Linked DNA regions of Nothobranchius furzeri. The main gene of each other region encodes a partner of the protein of the gene in region 5 in a complex. Links are inferred from orthologs where the notes say so. Each region holds a gene or a part of one and is shown on either strand. Other genes may lie near its edges.

Region 1 (3,970 bases), about 12 Mb from region 5:
GATTTATCCCCCAAATCTCATGATACACGGCCCCATTTTCCTGAATACAGATCAGTCCTGTCCCCTTTGCAGAAAATCAGCCTCAAAATATAATTTTTCCCCCTGACTCACAGAGGTAATGGTGTTCTTGGAATGCAACTCAGCATTCTTCCTCCTCCAAACACAGCAAGTTCCAAACAGTTCTGTTTTGCTCCCATCTGAATTTCCTGATCCTTCTCTGGATCATCCCGGTGGTCTCTGGCTGGCACACTTCAGACGGACTGGGGCCTCATTCATCAAGCTAGCTTACGCACAAAATGGGGTTGGAAAACAGCGTAAGCAACTTTCCACGCAAACTTTGGGATTTATGAAAGAAAACTTGGCTGAAAAACGTGCACAACTTTAAGATGACTAAGGACCTGGCTTACACACATGCTGGACATGGAGAGCACCTGCAGTGCTGCTGCTGAGAAGGATAAACTGATGAAATCCTGCAGCATTATCACTTGTACTGCTTCATTTTCACACAGAACAAGACCCCCCCCCCCCCCCCCACACACACACACACACACACACACACAGCCTGAAGCGCAGAATACAGAATATCAGCAGGGGGACAGATTGAGACAGAACATCATGCGTGTGTGACAGTGTGTGTCCTGTCACTGTGACCCGATCGATCATGCGCCCTGGCTACTTGTACAGGGGAGATCTCTGTTTGGGTGACTGGTTAGTGCGCGTGACTTTCATCCAGGAGTCTGGGGATCGAATCCCGATCGTATCATTTTTTTTATACCCGCCACAGATCTCTCTGAAGAAGTCAGCATTGACGGCTTCAGCAACGCTGTGCCACTCTGTGGATTTTCTCTTATTTGTTTTGCAAAAGCACTTCCTTTCATTTCTCCACCTCACCCACAGGTACCTCAACTTCTGCTTCTGTGAAATAGCGCTTCCTTGATCTGCCTTGATCTACGGTCGCCATGTCATTGGCGGAGCGCTGCAACAGCCGGCTTATGTATATGCATGAGATCCACAAGGCACTTTGCATTGACCATTTATGGCAATAGGTGGGCGTGGTGAGGGCAGGATGTGACTAAAATGCAGCTGAGAAACATTCTCATAAGTCTCAGATTTATGAAGTGGAGGTTGCGTGCAGCTGTGAGTCCTCCATGTTTGATAGATCACACACCTGCTTGGCGTAAGTACATATTTTTGCTGAGCTTAAGTACGGTTTTAGTAAGGATTCTGCGCCATGTTTGATAAATGAGACCCCTGGACATGTGCTGTTCTGAGCAGGGGGACTTAAGAGCATTACGGAATTTTAATTCATGTCAATGTAGTGTGTTAGTAATAGTAACCTTTGTCACTGTGGTCTCAGCTCTCTTCAGGTCATTAACCACCCCCTAGTGTAGTTCTGGGCTGTTTCACCATTCTCTCAAGATCATTAGTACCCCATGAAGTAAGAGCTTGATGCCAATTGTAGATTGGCTCATCGAGTCTTTTGCAGGTGTACAGTCTTGTCCCTGGTGTCCTTAGACAGCTCTAAGGTCTTGGCCATGGTGGAGGTATAAGTCTGATGGTTTTAAGGTGTGGACAGGTGTCTTTTATACAGACAACAAGCTAAAAAATTATGTATATATATTAGGACTGGACGATATAGAAAAAATTCCAATCAATAAAAAAATCTTATTGATTGATATCAATAATTATTGAAAATTATATGAAAAACCATAGAAAATATGGGCTAATTCTAATAACCAGCTTTTTTTCGGATGCATTTCTGAATTAAACAAGAATTGACTTCTTTCCTGTTTGAATACAGATCAATTTGAGATGAGTGTTTTGTGATTCAGCCAAACGAGTACAGCTACAGAATATTAAAACAACATATTGCATTAAACACAATCAACAAAAAACTGTGCAAGATACAAAAATGTTAAATCAGGTGGATCTACCTGTAGTAGTCATCTTAGTAAAACAACATAATGAAACTATTCCAAACGAAGATGCTTTACAGCCACTGGCAGTAAATTACAATGAACCAGAACCAAAGACTGTTTATGCTGTTGTTTATTATAAAGTCAACAAATCGAACCAAAAAGGCCCTATTATTCAGACTTTATCAGCTATGTTTAGCATCTCATATATATATATATATATATATATATATATATATATATATATATATATATATTCACCAACAGGCTTGTATTGATCTGTAAAGTGGCTTTTAAGAGCTTCACCTGTCCAGATCACATCCGTCCATTAGACTCACATTTCCCTAAAATAAATCAAATGAAACATAATACAACCGGAAGGAAACAAGAGCAGCAAAACGCACTCACCCACTTATACTGCGTTGAACTTTATGACTGTCGACGTCCAAATAACGATGAAATCTGACAGAGGAAATTAAAGCAGGCGGTAAACAGCAGCCCTTCTTTGAGTTAGCTACACTTTTGTTAGCAGCTAACAACATGCTTGCTTCCGGTGGCTAACTTACTTGAAATTTGACCACGTAAATTTCAGCGCAGACTGGAAATTTTGGTCCTCCTCATCTTCAATCTTGCTGATAGATCTGATTAACTTCTTGGTTTCTTTCTCCGTCTCCTTTTCAAAGGTGCTCCAGTGTGCCATGGTGTTCCAGCTGCTGGTTGTGCTACAAGAATTAGCCCCAAGCGTTAGCCTGCATGGAACCGCCTGGCTCACTCTTGCAAACTATTGGATAACTTTTCAAAATATAAGACTTGAAGAACAACGTTGAAATCGTTATTGCAAATGTACAAAAACTGAGGCGCTACATTGACTGTTAGGTCCATTGATTCCTCCACTACCGCGTCATCGAAACATACAATGGTGCGCATGCGTACCACTGAAAAAAAGTCAACGCTTTATTTCCTTCTTGTTCGTTGAAATGTTATGTTGTATGGAAGGCTGTTGTATCATATAAAAAAGCACGCACCCGTTTACATTTTTCGAGTATCAAAATTTGCATTTCTGCTGGTCAAATACATCCCTTCTTCTTAAATCAAACAATATTAAACTCATAATTTGTATTTCAAAATCATTCATTGGTTTGTTTGATTGATTAACCCCATGCTTATAGCCACGCCCACCATCTCATCTTAATTAATCCCTTTTCAGAATCAGAACGAGAAGGGTTTATTGCCATATGTGTGAGAGATCACATTAGTAAATTATTGGTCCAGCCATCCCCCGTATGTCTTAAATGACTGCATTGGTTATAACACGTTCTTAAATCAAGAATAGCATATTTCAAAAGGTATAAATTGCAATAAATGATAATTTACTGATTAAACTATAAAAGCAATTATTCTTAAAGTTTGTCCTCTGAAACTGATCAATATTTAATTGGTTTAAACACATTCCAGGGGTCTTCATTAAAGATGAATGCAGGTCCATCCACCTACAATGTGAATAAAGAAAAAAGAGGAATCAGAATATAATTACAAAATCCCTTTAATCGTTTTAAATTAAGCTGAAAAAAGATTTTTGTAATTTACTGTAAATAAAAGTATAAAAAATATCATTTCAATACATCAACGACACCAAAAAATGGTTCTCTCTTTTTCACAGAATCCCAAAAATAAGCCCTAAGGAAATAATCCAAATGAGACCCTGTGTCCACATATGTGACATTGACTTCTTCTTGCATTATATTTCATTCTCTTCAACTTAGACCTTTTTAAAAGATATGATTTAGAGACACTTGATTTTGATTAAGTTTTAAAAATGTTTCTTTTTCTTTCTTTTTTCACACCAAATACAAATTCAGGCCTTGGGAGGTTGAAGTCAGAATTCTGACCTTTTTTATCAAATAAAAGGCAGACTTTTTTATACCTTCCATAAATATCGACTAAAAGAGATTTGTTGTCACTTAAAATATTTTTTTCTATTAGTAGGTTCAAAAAATAATTTGCTGGAAGAATAATGTTTCTTTAAATGAAATGTTGATATTTGTGGAAAATGT
Region 2 (2,645 bases), on a different chromosome or scaffold from region 5:
GCATGCCGTGTCCACAAACACTCACCATCACCATTATTAGTTCATATTTTTCAACAAACATGTAACGCATGTTTGCAACAGAGAAACTTTAGATCACACATGTACACAACAATAACATCTTCTAAAAGGGCACATGAGCCATTTCTCCGCCTCTAAATTCCCCAAGGCTGATTTTTTTTCCCTCTTTTATTTTCCTTCATGACCTTAATATAAAAAACAAGTGAACCTTTGCTCTCTTTGCCCTGGTAGTCCACAGTTAGATGCAGCAGAGGCAGCAGGTTGTCGTCGTCCAGCAGCACCTTATGAGCAGCCTGCTGGAACGCCACGTTCACGTCTGGAAGGAGAAAACAGTCTCAGCACATGAAATCCATGACTGCTGCTAGTAGTGAACACAAATTCAGACACTTTTCATCAACAGAAACCAGCAGATGGTGGAAGCCCAGGTGTACAATGACTTTTTGGTCACAACCCACTAGAGCTAAATCAGAAGGTGAGGGCGACTCTGTGCTTCTGTTGTCTCTTATTAGCTGTAAGGTGACCCAAGCGGCTTAAACAGGCAAACATCTCGGTCTCTGCACAGACTAAAAAAAACTGGGTCAGCCACACAAAACAAGGCCAAAACCTCCTCTAAATGAATTAGAATTTTCTAAAGAGAATTGAAAACAAGTCAACTAAATGGTTTGTTTCACAGAATATTCTGGAGTGAGTGAAGGAGGGAGCAGGAGATCAGGGCACACGTCTGCAGTGGTGTGGATGCTGAACTGGTCAGTTGAGGTGAAGAAAGCGTTAAGCCAGACAGTGAAGGTGATCTTCATCTCGATCCTGACTTTTGGCCATTAGCGCTGAGTAATGCCAGAAACAAGATCATGAACACAAGCGGCTATAAGGAGTTTCCTTAGCAGGGAGGTTGGGCTCAGCCGTTGAGAGGGAGGAGCAAACAGCGGAGCCGCTGCTCCTCCGTGTTAATAGGAGCCAGCTGAGGCGGTTCAGGCATTTGGTCTGGATGCAGGGTCTGTTTAGAAAAAAATGCACACTCTGTTTATAAGTTGCTGCCGGCCTTGCAGCGCTTCTTCTAGCAGTAATCTGAAATTAATTCCTCCAAACAGCACGCCGAACTTCAGCTTACCCGTCGAGCAGAAAACCAGCAACAGAGGTGTCTGGGGGGAGGCCAACCTTCGCTTTAAGCGTACGCCATCGTTGGAAAGAGTCTCCTAAAAAAAGATTCTGATCTTATTTCTAGGGCCCGACTTCAGAGACACTTCTCCTCTTGCGACTCTCGGCCATTTTCAAAAGAACCCGGTGAGAACGACGAGGAATAAAAGCGGATCACTCTGCACATAGACAGAATGCGCAGGAAGTGAAAACTACCCAGCACCAAGAACGCACGACGACAGCCTTTCGTGAAAGCGTCAAAAAAATGATTGACAGTCTAAACAAACAACCGACTACACGTTTATTTGTGAAACATTTACAGGTACACCAGTTTAGGAGGTCAAAAACAGCTCTTCATCTACAGGGTCTGAGTCTTCCTCTGTAAAACGATGAACCCGATTATGATCTGATGAAGAGGAGGAGACCCCTCTGGCATCTAACCACCACTGTCTGAACTCCTTCCTCAGAGAAAACACCCAAATGAGAGGAACTGGTTGTCTCAAGAAAGTTTGCTATGGATCATAATTCTGTAAAATATTTCATGTATACAGAATGCATATGATATGATTTAACACCAGGTAAAATAAAAACACCCAGAGGTGAGTGAGATCTGTGCAGACATGTTTACCGTGCTCGGTGACTGCTGTTGGAGGAGTCTTCAACATGTGCTGAGCAAGGTCAATGAACACCTGATAGAGCTCGCCACGACCCAGCAGGTAGAAATCCTTAACGATCTGGAGGAGATCACAAACATCGTCAGCACAGCGCATATCCGAGTTCAACAAACAATTACGAAATGAAAAACCTTGAGCTGTTCCAGCAGATTTGCCTCCTCCACCATCAACGTCCACAGGTGCTGCAGATCAAAACAATAGGACCAGGGTTACGTTTTACAGCGCCGTCCCCGCCAACTTGTGTTTTTATTTAACCGAGTAAAGTAATGCAGCGATGCTGGTGCTCACCTCTGCCACTGTGCTCCTGATTCGATCGATTAAATTCTCAAAGTCCACCAGGCTGAACAGCGGCTGCTGTTTGAGTCTGTGTAGCTCAGCAGCAAAAAGGTCCTCCTGGTGCTTTAATATGGAGCCTAAAACAAAAGGACAAAGATGTGTTTGAGGGTCACTAATAAGCGGGCGCTAGACTCCACATATATATGAAGTACCGGCTCTGGACGGGCTGTGGTTGTGATTTTCAAACATTTGAACAGATTCTCCAACAAACAGGATCTTCTCAGCCACCCTGATGGGGATATAAGATGGCAGCATCTCTGTTCGCAGAGAGAACTGCTGGAGTGATGGAGCCAGCATGTTCTCCTCCTCGATCAGCCTCTGAAGACATTAGAGTAAACGCTGTTAGACAGACCCTATCCACGGACTGATGAAGGACTTTAACCGGCCTCACCAGGTCCTGTAATTCTCTGAGCTGCTTGCCACTTAAACCTCCCAGACCCAGGTCCTCCTCCTCCTCGTCCTGGCTGGCAGCAGCACCTCCTG
Region 3 (3,520 bases), about 11 Mb from region 5:
GTCGTACCCTAGAAAGTGGTGTATAAATACAGGCCATTAACCATTTGTTACAACAGACTGAAATGAAGGGATTTTATTCCACCTAATGGACCCTAACCCTTTCACAGTAACACTGAGCAGCTTGTTAGTTCTACAGCATCGATCTGTGGGAAGCATGAAGAGTCGCTGTTAAAGCGCTAGAGTTTACAGACCTTACTCATTTCATGTGAAACAAACACAGAAAAATAATAATCACCATTCCAAGAGCTGAGATCTCAAATCCAGCTGCAGATATGGAGTTAAGAATCTTCCCAGTCAGCCCTGTGAACACATGATGCTCATCAGTCTTTATGAGCCGAGTTTACACAGAAGGACAAACACGGTATTTTAGTGCTGCAGCAATCTCAGATGTCGTCCAGATCAAATAACACCTGAATCCACTGCTGCAGTGAAGCATCTGACTATCGTGAAGTCCGGATGCATCACTACTGAACGTGCTTCTGCTCAGACATCAGCGGTACATCTCAGTGCACTGACCTCAGTCTGTCCTCTGGACAGAGTGAGATAGTCTCGCTGATGTGTTGTCTATCGAGGGAAAGCATTTTTGTCCAGGCAACCTTTTAGGAAACGAGATAGTGAACTGTACATCCCATCAAAGAGCTGGGTCTTTGCTGTAGAAGTGGTGCAGCTGCAGTGACTCTGAAGGTCAGACTGCTGCAGACACACAATTGAATCAAGGCGCCAGTCTCGTAATCTCAGTCTGATAAAAAGTAGCTTGTGTACCTGTCACCCAGGACGGTTTTCATTAACTCTAAATGCTGCAGCGCAGACGTTCAATAGGAACCAGGCGTAGCCGCCGTCTGTGGATCTCTCCCTCCCTACGTCACAGTCCAGTTATGTGCACTAGGTAATAGCCTGAGTCCTTTGTGCCCTCCCCAGGACTGCACAGGTTCCACACACTCCTCGCAGCGCCACAAAGCAGCTGCTGCTGTTGCTAGGAGATACTATTCCAGGAGCCTGGCAACAGAAGCTTCTCTATTCCGGTCATGTCTGAGTGAATTTTCACTCACAGCGTCCTTCATGGCCACGGTGACAGGCCGTCTTGACGACATAAATGAGCTACTGAAGAGATTTCTGAGGGGAGATCAGAGCAGAGCTTTTTGTCGACCTCAGCTGGACAAATCATTCAGCCTGGTTTCTATTCTTGGCTCGGACCAAATATATCACGGCTCTGAAGGTAAACAGTGTGGGAGTCACTTCTAGCAGTGAAACTGACGCCTGAGTAGGAGCTTTGAAGTTTTAACAATGCCACACTTTCTGAGAGATAACTGATTCGTTTTAACTGAACTGTTTTAAGAAGCGCCAAACTTCTTGTAGCACATCAAACACATCAGCTTAAGCGAGACATTGTTTAAGATATGTTCTGCTACGGATCAGCGTTCATGGTTCCATCATTTACAGGAAGTGGCCCAGGTCCTGCAGCAGCAAAACTGCCCCAGACCATCATACCACCATCACCATGCTTCACTGTTGGAATGAGGATACTTCACTGAAATGAAGTGTTAGTTTTACACTAAATGTAATGTGAGATGAGTCTTATGGATTATTACGGTCAGTAGAACCTCTCTGTCGCCATGGTTGATTCATGACCTCTGACCTTAATGAGGTCTGCAGTGCTTTGGTGATGTTGGGTTCTTTAGACCAGAGCATGGAGATCTTTTAGCCTACTTCATGTTGTTGGACAGGTTCTGTTGAAGTTAGTGGCAGTAAGCAGGCCTGGGTGTGGCTGGTGAAACTCACCCCAGCTCTACAAATATGTTTAATCACAAATAAATCAGGACGTAACATGGGGAGCAATTATTGTTCCACATAAAACTACTTTTTTTAAATTTATTTGGACCCCCTAATGAAGGAAACCTTCATTTGAAAACGCCGGGGTTTGATAAAAAGTTTATATACGAGCACAGAGCACTATCACTGTGACCTGTCAGGAATGATTAACACAGCCAACAACCACCGGTATTCACTGAGCAAATGTTGAAATCCATGCGTTCGGACCGAGCTGGTTTATCACCGCGGCTCGTTGCAAGCTTAACTGTTGCTCAACGGTGCCTTGCAGACAAACAAAGCATGCCCACTTGTATTCTCTCTCACCGCCTCCTTTCTCAAGCCAAAGATTTGAACGTGCCCTAGCAGGCTAAGCGTGGCTGTAACTGCAGAAATAACAAAAGTGGGCGATCTGTTCTGTTTAGGTGCAGCATGAAGGCAGGCCAGAGAGCAGCGGTGCACAGATACACCATGGCTTTATTATCGCCCAGAGGCAGTGGACGGAAATAAGCCTTGCTTTCACAAAACCTTTATAATGAATCATTTTGTCGGTTTTTTTTTCTGACTTTTCTGACTCTGGGGAATACAGCAATAAACTCAATTTCACTTAGGGGTGGAAAATCCCTTTAAGTTTATTTCAGGGACCATTGAGAGCGTTTCCATCGTAAATGCAAGGGTACATGAATTTATACATGTATGTGCAATATAATGTCACGCTGGCTCAAACTGAAACATAAAGACAGTCAGATACCAGAGAAATGATGAAACTCAAGATACAACAAGATATTAGTGGATCTGTAGTTATTACTGTATGTTCTCTGCTGTAAGTGCAGAACAAAAGCTGGGGTCCACCTCCAGTCAACAGCTTTCTGTGTGCAAACATCAGCTCTGCACAGAATTTCACATTTCACAGCTCAGAGCTCTGGTGGCATGCCCCGGGAGCAGGGATCAGCACTGGGATTTGGAAAAATCCAAGGCCATTTTGGAAACCACATGGTGGCTTTGTTGGGGAGGGGGGGGGGAAACAAGCCAGCAGCACAGGAACTCAAAATAACAAAATACAAATAAAAGTGAGATATTTTGCCATGCCTGAGTGACTCCTTACCTGCTGATACAGCGTGGGGTTTGATGATACAACAAGTGCAGTCTGTGAACAGGGCTGTGTTGGAGGGGCCATGGCCGACCGTGGAAGGAAAAAAGAATTCCAGCTCCTTACAAAAACAAACACACAAACTTTAATGATCATGACCGTTCCAGGAAGTGCGATTCTCAGACTACTGAAGGCACAAGAGAGCGAGAACAAAGTCAAAATCCTCACTCTTGCTGCTACAGCTATGGAGTCAGAGCCATGGGCCACATTTTTGATGGCGTCTGTTCCAAACTGTGCACGGATGCTCTGTGGCGCCTCTGTTAACGCCACAGCAGAGTCTGCAGGTCCCAGGAGCTCCCTCCAGATCGACAGGGCCTTGTCACCCACCAGCTCCATGGCAACCACTGGCCCAGAGGACATGAAGTGCACCAGCGCACTGCAAAACAGAGTCACGTTGGAGCTGATTTGAATTTAAAAAACTCTAAAATGTCACCATCACAGGTTGTGGTCGGAGTGCTAGATGGCAATCACAACCCTTCTCTGCTCAGAACTGGGAGATCATTTACACGAGCACTCACCTGAAGAAAGGCTTTGACTGATGTTCCACGTAAAAGTCTTCCGCTT
Region 4 (3,520 bases), on a different chromosome or scaffold from region 5:
GGTCTCAGTCTCATTACGGTCAGGGTCTCAGTCTCGTTACGGTCTCAGTCTTTTTACGGTCTCGGTCTCGTTACGGTCTCTGTCTCATTACGGTCAGGGTCTCGGTCTCGTTAGGGTCTCATTCTTGTTGTGGTCTTGTTGCGGTCTCTGTCTCGTTACGGTCTCGGTCTTGTTACGGTCTCTGTCTCGTTACGGTCTCGGTCTTGTTGCGGTCAGGGTCTCTGTCTCGTTACGGTCTCTGTCTCGTTACGGTCTCAGTCTTGTTGCGGTCCGGGTCTCGGTCTCATTACGGTCTCCGTCACTTTCGGCGAATATTTAAAAGATGGAGCCTATTTCTGTCGGCCTCTGCAGGTCTGCCGGAAAGCGCTTTTGGTGACGTGTCATGGCGTTGCACGTCTTCGTACTGACGCAGAAGGAGACGTGGACATCAGGCTTGAGAGGTTTTTGAAAACATCAAAGGTTTGGCTGCGTTTGTGAAAGCAACCAGCAGCAGAGCAGAGCTGATCTAAAAACACCAGCATGACTCGACTCTGAGTCCACGACCTGCCTCAGGCTCATTTTTCTGAAGTTAACTTGCTGCGACTCGTGTTTACAATGTAGTTCATTTACTCTTGTTTATACAGAACGTTTATTTCTTTATTTGGGATCTAAACTTTGTCGGTTTCAGGTTTTCAGAGACCAGAGTCGATGTTTCATGTCTCTGGCACCAAAGGACAGATAACAGCTTTCACTCTGTTAACTTTAGTTTTGCTCTAAGAGTAAAATAATTCCTAATTTTTATTGTTTTATACAGATATTTCAATTTTGTGTCTTATTCTGGTTCTAAAAAGGAAGATATTTGTTTGCTTTAATAAACATTTAAGTGTTTTTTTTCTCTCTCAATAGATTTAGAAATAGAAATACTAAATCTATTTCTCTGTGGAGCCTCTTAGTTTAGTCGCGTTTTGCTCAGATTCTCCAGATTAATCTAGAACCCTTTCTGTGTCTTCAGTCAGTCTTCAGCTGGAGCCACGCAACCTCTGGGCTCTCGGTTAGCCTGGGCACTTCCTGTAAGCTCCTCCCCTTCATCTGCTCTGGCCCCGCCCACATCCAGACCACCCCTCGGGCCTGCGGTTCTGTCCAGCAGGCTGGTCCGTCCTCGACGGGACGGCGACGCAGCTGGTGAATGACTACAGTTGTTGTTAATCACTAAATAAGTTATTGTTAAATTAAAAAGAACACTTTATTTCTACTTATTTTACCAACTTTTCCAGGTTTTTAAGTTCCTTTCTCAGAGAACTACTGTTCAGTTTTAATGTTGATCGCCCATCTTCCACCCGTGCAGATGAGGTGAGCGAGGCGGCGCTGGTGCGGGACATCCTCTACGTCTTCCAGGGAATCGACGGCAAATTCATCAAGATGAACGCTCAGGAAAACGGCTACAAAATGGACAGCAAGGTACGTTCTCCGAGGCCGAGGTGACCCCGCTGGGATTAAACCGTTGCTGCTAATTGCACTTTCAGCCGATCGATGCGAGGCTTTTTGGCGCTGAAACGCATCAGCTGGAGCTTTTTCTGGCCTGTCGATTCCTTTTGTTCCACGTCGTTCCGGACCGGTGCTGCTAAACTTAGATTCATGGTCGGAGTTTTCCATCAGGACAGGAGCCGGAGAGGATAGTTGAGTCAAGGATGAAGATATTTTGGAGTTCCCATCCCCACTTAACCTCCCTGGAGAAAACGTTAAGAGGATAAAAATTTAATGCAACATTAAGAGTGAATTATTCTCGCCTTTCCGGTTACGCTGATGGAAAACTACGGCCGTTTCCACCCACACGCCAAAGCTTTAGCTTTTTCGTTTTATTACTGTTGGGAAGTCACTGCAGAATTTACACGGTTAAGTTATTTCTAATTAATCATAACGGGAGTTTTCTGCTTTAAAGTTCAGCAGAGAAATGCATCTAAATGATTTTGGGTCTGTTTTAGTTTCCAATTTCTGTAAAAGTTATGAACAATTTCTATTTTAAATGATTTTTAAGTAATTTTTAGTTTAGTAAATTCTAACATATTTTAGATTCACACAACAAATCCTGGCCTGAGGCTAACAGTCATAAATGAATGAGCTGGATGAGGATTTAGTCGGCTGTAGCTGCTTTAGACGTTATCTACTACAAGTAATATTTATAAAGACGCAGGTATGTTTCTCTGAGGGAATCGTTTCACCTTAAAAATATATAAAAACTGCTGATTTTAGTAGTTTTGACCTTTTCTAAATGATAAACGGGAAACGTGTCCACTCTTCAGGTCTAGACTCAGTCATCAGGATTCAGAGCACTTCTGTTTCCAACCTCTAGGTGGTGCTATGCAGGTCCCTCAGGGACACCAGCAGCAGACTGGCTGAACTGGGCTGGCTCCATAACAAAGTTAGGAAGTACACCGACGCCAGGAGCCTGGATCGGGCCTTCGGATTGGTCGGACAGGTGAGTCGTCGTTGCCTGGTTGTGTTTTTCACTCCTGTACACCTGTTGATGCTCACCTGTGTTTTTCCCCAGAGCTTCTGCGCCTCCCTTCACCAGGAGCTGAAAGAGTACTACAGGCTCCTCTCTGTCCTCCACTCACAGGTAATATTCCTTATGGCTGACATGCTTTTATTTTGGTAACCTGTCTTATCCATGGCCCGCGGGGGGGGGGGGGGGGGGGGGGGGGGGGGGGCTTCCACTTTGAGGAAAATTCAAACGGAATAAAAAATGAAACATGTAAAGTTGTGGAATTAGTCAAAATCCAGATGTAATCCAATCTGGATTTGCTGATAATCTGTGTTTTTCACTCTTTACAGTAAAGTTCACCAAGATTGAGAGATTAGAGATGCACCCATTCAAATGTTGAGATCCTGATGTTGAAGAAAGTTCTAGATCAGGTATCAGGAAAATGGGTTTGATCTGTGCTGAGAGCTGAGAGAGACATCACACGCTAGCGAGTCACCTCTCAAAGGCTCACGTTGTTTTCAGATTGGAGCAAACTAAAGAAACCGCGCACTGGAGCGTTCTCACGCCACCTCAGCCACCTCAGGTGTCGGTATCGGACGATACTAAACATCATGTGCCGGTATCGGACGATACTAAACCTCAGGTGTCGGTATCGGACGATGCTAAACCTCAGGTGTCGGTATCGGACGATGCTAAACCTCAGGTGTCGGTATCGGACGGTACTAAACCTCAGGTGCCGGTTTCGGACGATACTAAACCTCAGGTGCCGGTATCGGACGATACTAAACCTCAGGTGCCGGTATCGGACGGTACTAAACCTCAGGTGCCGGTTTCGGACGATACTAAACCTCAGGTGTCGGTATCGGACGGTACTAAACCTCAGGTGCCGGTTTCGGACGATACTAAACCTCAGGTGCCGGTATCGGACGATACTAAACCTCAGGTGCCGGTATCGGACGATACTAAACCTCAGGTGTCTGTATCGGACGATACTAACCCTCAGGTGTCTGTATCGGACGATACTAAACCTCAGGTGTCTGTATCGGACGATACTAAAAC
Region 5 (2,775 bases):
CGGGGGAACACATTTATGACGTCTTTTTAAACGAAATTTTCTAGTGCGACCTGCCTGCTTCACTTAAGTCACTGCTTATTAAGGTCCGTCCAAAATTACCGTGAGAAACGGGTAATAATGGCTCTTTGATGGGAACAGGTTGCCGACCCCTGGTATAAGATCTGAGCTGGTAAAACAAAAATCCTCATCAGCAGGCGTTTTTGAAAGTGGGGGGACACAGCTGCCAATCACAAATTTTGCCGGGGACATGTCCCCGGCGTCCCGGTTAAAATGACGCCTATGCTGGTAACCAAGGTAGAGGTGCAGAACAGGAGTGATGTGCTCACTTCTCTTGGTTCTTGATAAGACTCTTGCAGCAGCATTCTGAATAAGCTGCAGTTGCTTCACAGCTTTTTGGAAAAACCAGTCAAAAGACAAGCCTTAAATATTTTTTGTATTTTACAGTAGATGAAAATTGGCTGAAGCTTTGGGTTTTAAGATGGAGGCAGAGGATTTTGTAGTAAAAATCAAAACTCAAAGTTGGATCAGCAAAGTTTTGCTTTAATGAAATGCAAATACAGTTTTCTGCTGTACAATAAGTTACCAACATGAAGTTTCACAACTTAGAAGTTCTGAGACGAAACATAACAATAATCCTGCTGATCAAGACATTTTACACAGCAGATAATATAAAACACAATGACCCTTCAGCTGATGATCAGTGATGTTTATGAGTGACGCACAGGTAAAAAAAAAGTTTATTTTCTGAATGATTATTTATTCACAAACAGCAGAAATGTTACGCTGCAGCCTTCTGATTGCGCTCCACAGCCATCCTCTCCAACCTCTCAGTGTAGAACCCATTAAAGTCCAACCTGTGGAGCCAAATTCCATTTTGATTAAATCAACAGAAACAAATGTTACCATTGCACAAATCTTACAATTTAATCACCAACTCCTCCAAACGTTGCCTCACAATTCTTTATATTTTCTGAAACAAGCTAAACTGAGAAAGCTAGAAGGGTTTCAGACCCTCGCTGTGATTTGGTAACTTTATTTACCCAAACATGGTCAACGAATGCACATTAAGAACACTCAGGAACATCTCGAGACTTTTTGGAGACTCCTTCATGAATGCTGTTTGCAGCAGACTAGTGAGAGCATGGCTTTAGATAGATCCCATGTTACCACACCTCTACAAGGTGGATGTGGTGTGAAAAACCAAATATTTACATTTTGTTTATGAAACACTAAATCATTGAACATCCTCTTACTAAGACACTTCAAATCAATGTAACTGACGAAAACTTCAGCTAATAAAAACACCATTATTCACTTCTCGCTGACACTAGGTCTGTGTCTCAATTCAGGGTCTGCATCCTTCGACGGCCGGATTCGTCGGCCAGTTACGTCACAGCGCCGCGACTAGGCCTGTCCCAATTTGAAGACTCCTTCAAATGCGGTCGACGAATCCGGCCTTCTTTTCGCCTGAATGAAGGATGGGTCCGGTGTATCCTTCAATGGTTTACATTTCCCAAGATGCTTTGCGGGCAGGATGGCAGAACTTTTAAAAACAATGGCGGACAGTGAAGCGGGAGCTGTCGGAGAGGATTGCACATATAAATGTCAGTATAAACTAGAAAACTGTTAGGTTAAGGGCTTTTTGTGATACATGAACGTTATTTTAGTTAGAAATGTTACAGTAAAAGTGCTTGTACTGCGGTCTCGGCTCGTATGTTCGGCCGCTCGGTGTCGTACTTCTCCCGCTACGTTTCCCCCTGATTTTAATAGAAGTTTGTATTTTAGGGACAAAAGAGAAAACCAGGGAATTTATTAAGCTTAGGGCAGAGATGGACCACATGATCACCGGAGCAAAGTATTCGGCGGCTGTGGAGGTACAATAACATCTCATATTTTAAAAACTGTCGTTTAGTTTTTTTCTGCAAAAACATGAAAGGAATAACCCGTTGTCCTCTTTTCTCTTCCTGTTTTTTCCTACATGTTTGTTAAGACTATTCTGGAGAAAATGGGCATCCAGGGGAAGGTGACAGCGATGACCAGCTTCTGGAGCTGATCAGGGAGGACTTGAGGCTGCAGAGGGAGGCAGAGCAGCAGAGGGCAGGAGAGAAGGGAGAACTTTGACAGCTTTTTAGTTTGCTAGAAAAAATGGTTACGAAAGATTAAACATGTACATATAAAAGAAATATCTAAATAAAATCTATTCTGTATTAAACTTAAATTTTATTTTTGTTTACAAATGAGAATTGTTTCATATTACAGGGTATCAGCTGGGTCTTGAAAAGTCTTAAAAGGTGATAAATCGGTTTTGGTCAAATTGAGACCCTTAGAAAGTATTAAAAACTATTATCACATCTTTGCTCAGGCTCAGCTTGTCGAAAGTATTTTCTCTGAATTAGCTCTCCAACAGTCAAGGAAATGATTAAAAAGCTAAATAAAACTTCGAGCTCCATCGTTTAAAGTTCCTTCTCCCTCCTGCTCAGCGGTTCCACGGTTGCTAGGCGACGGAACGTTCGCCGAGGGAGTGGCAGGAATTCATGAAGGCTAGGCCTGTCCAAATTCACAGCCGTTAACATCCGGTCTACCCGGCCGACGGAGGACTCAGCCCACGTCGGCCGAGTAGGCTGGGTCCTTCGAAGGATGCAGACCCTGAATTGAGACACAGCGAAGCTCTTCCTGCACCTTAGGGTTCCAAATGATTACCTGTAGATGATGCTGATCATGCTGTGCTCACAGTCGTTGGTGCTGTAGATGCTCAGCTTGTCCAGCAGGTCGAGC

Evidence for each region.
Region 1: tubgcp2 (region 5) and tubgcp5 share a complex: the UniProt entries of both Homo sapiens proteins name them as parts of the gamma-tubulin ring complex. The link is inferred for Nothobranchius furzeri from reciprocal best matches to the Homo sapiens genes TUBGCP2 and TUBGCP5.
Region 2: tubgcp2 (region 5) and tubgcp4 share a complex: the UniProt entries of both Homo sapiens proteins name them as parts of the gamma-tubulin ring complex. The link is inferred for Nothobranchius furzeri from reciprocal best matches to the Homo sapiens genes TUBGCP2 and TUBGCP4.
Region 3: tubgcp2 (region 5) and nme7 share a complex: the UniProt entries of both Homo sapiens proteins name them as parts of the gamma-tubulin ring complex. The link is inferred for Nothobranchius furzeri from reciprocal best matches to the Homo sapiens genes TUBGCP2 and NME7.
Region 4: the proteins of tubgcp2 (region 5) and tubgcp3 are in contact, whole or in part, in a cryo-EM structure (PDB 8Q62), measured with the Homo sapiens proteins. The link is inferred for Nothobranchius furzeri from reciprocal best matches to the Homo sapiens genes TUBGCP2 and TUBGCP3. Residues at the interface, in NP_006650.1 of Homo sapiens: Gln172, His173, Pro175, Ile176, Phe177, Pro178, Trp180, Arg184, Ala186, Leu187, Ile188, Gly189, Phe191, Leu222, Tyr223, Val226, Val228, Asp229, Gly230, Arg231, Glu278, Ser281, Phe283, Gln287, His290, Ala291, Ala294, Arg297, Val300, Lys301; in NP_006313.1 of Homo sapiens: Glu272, Asn273, Cys274, Ser286, Leu287, Asp289, Thr290, Val292, Arg293, Glu296, Trp299, Ser361, Thr363, Leu364, Arg365, Leu368, Val369, Tyr372, Lys375, Ile376, Lys379, Ala382, Ala383, Asp386, His387, Ala402, Tyr403, Lys405, Thr406, Gly407.

What each region holds. Positions count from the first base shown.
Region 1 is NC_091756.1:62,472,741-62,476,710, forward strand, and holds the start of tubgcp5 (gamma-tubulin complex component 5), read right to left. Parts: upstream 2,815-3,970; 5' UTR 2,617-2,814; coding exon 2,483-2,616; intron 2,379-2,482; coding exon 2,325-2,378; intron 1-2,324. UniProt on the Homo sapiens protein: Component of the gamma-tubulin ring complex (gTuRC) which mediates microtubule nucleation.
Region 2 is NC_091749.1:30,388,259-30,390,903, reverse strand, and holds part of tubgcp4 (gamma-tubulin complex component 4), read right to left. Parts: coding exon 2,554-2,645; intron 2,481-2,553; coding exon 2,315-2,480; intron 2,240-2,314; coding exon 2,115-2,239; intron 2,009-2,114; coding exon 1,958-2,008; intron 1,887-1,957; coding exon 1,781-1,886; intron 335-1,780; coding exon 227-334; intron 1-226. UniProt on the Homo sapiens protein: Component of the gamma-tubulin ring complex (gTuRC) which mediates microtubule nucleation.
Region 3 is NC_091756.1:61,686,929-61,690,448, forward strand, and holds part of nme7 (nucleoside diphosphate kinase homolog 7), read right to left. Parts: coding exon 3,475-3,520; intron 3,333-3,474; coding exon 3,125-3,332; intron 3,018-3,124; coding exon 2,912-3,017; intron 301-2,911; coding exon 236-300; intron 1-235. UniProt on the Homo sapiens protein: Possesses an intrinsic kinase activity. Displays 3'-5' exonuclease activity with a preference for single-stranded DNA. Does not seem to have nucleoside diphosphate kinase activity.
Region 4 is NC_091754.1:48,784,640-48,788,159, forward strand, and holds part of tubgcp3 (gamma-tubulin complex component 3), read left to right. Parts: intron 1-991; coding exon 992-1,161; intron 1,162-1,324; coding exon 1,325-1,437; intron 1,438-2,329; coding exon 2,330-2,455; intron 2,456-2,527; coding exon 2,528-2,596; intron 2,597-3,520. UniProt on the Homo sapiens protein: Component of the gamma-tubulin ring complex (gTuRC) which mediates microtubule nucleation.
Region 5 is NC_091756.1:50,628,411-50,631,185, reverse strand, and holds the end of tubgcp2 (gamma-tubulin complex component 2), read right to left. Parts: coding exon 2,701-2,775; intron 855-2,700; coding exon 779-854; 3' UTR 520-778; downstream 1-519. UniProt on the Homo sapiens protein: Component of the gamma-tubulin ring complex (gTuRC) which mediates microtubule nucleation.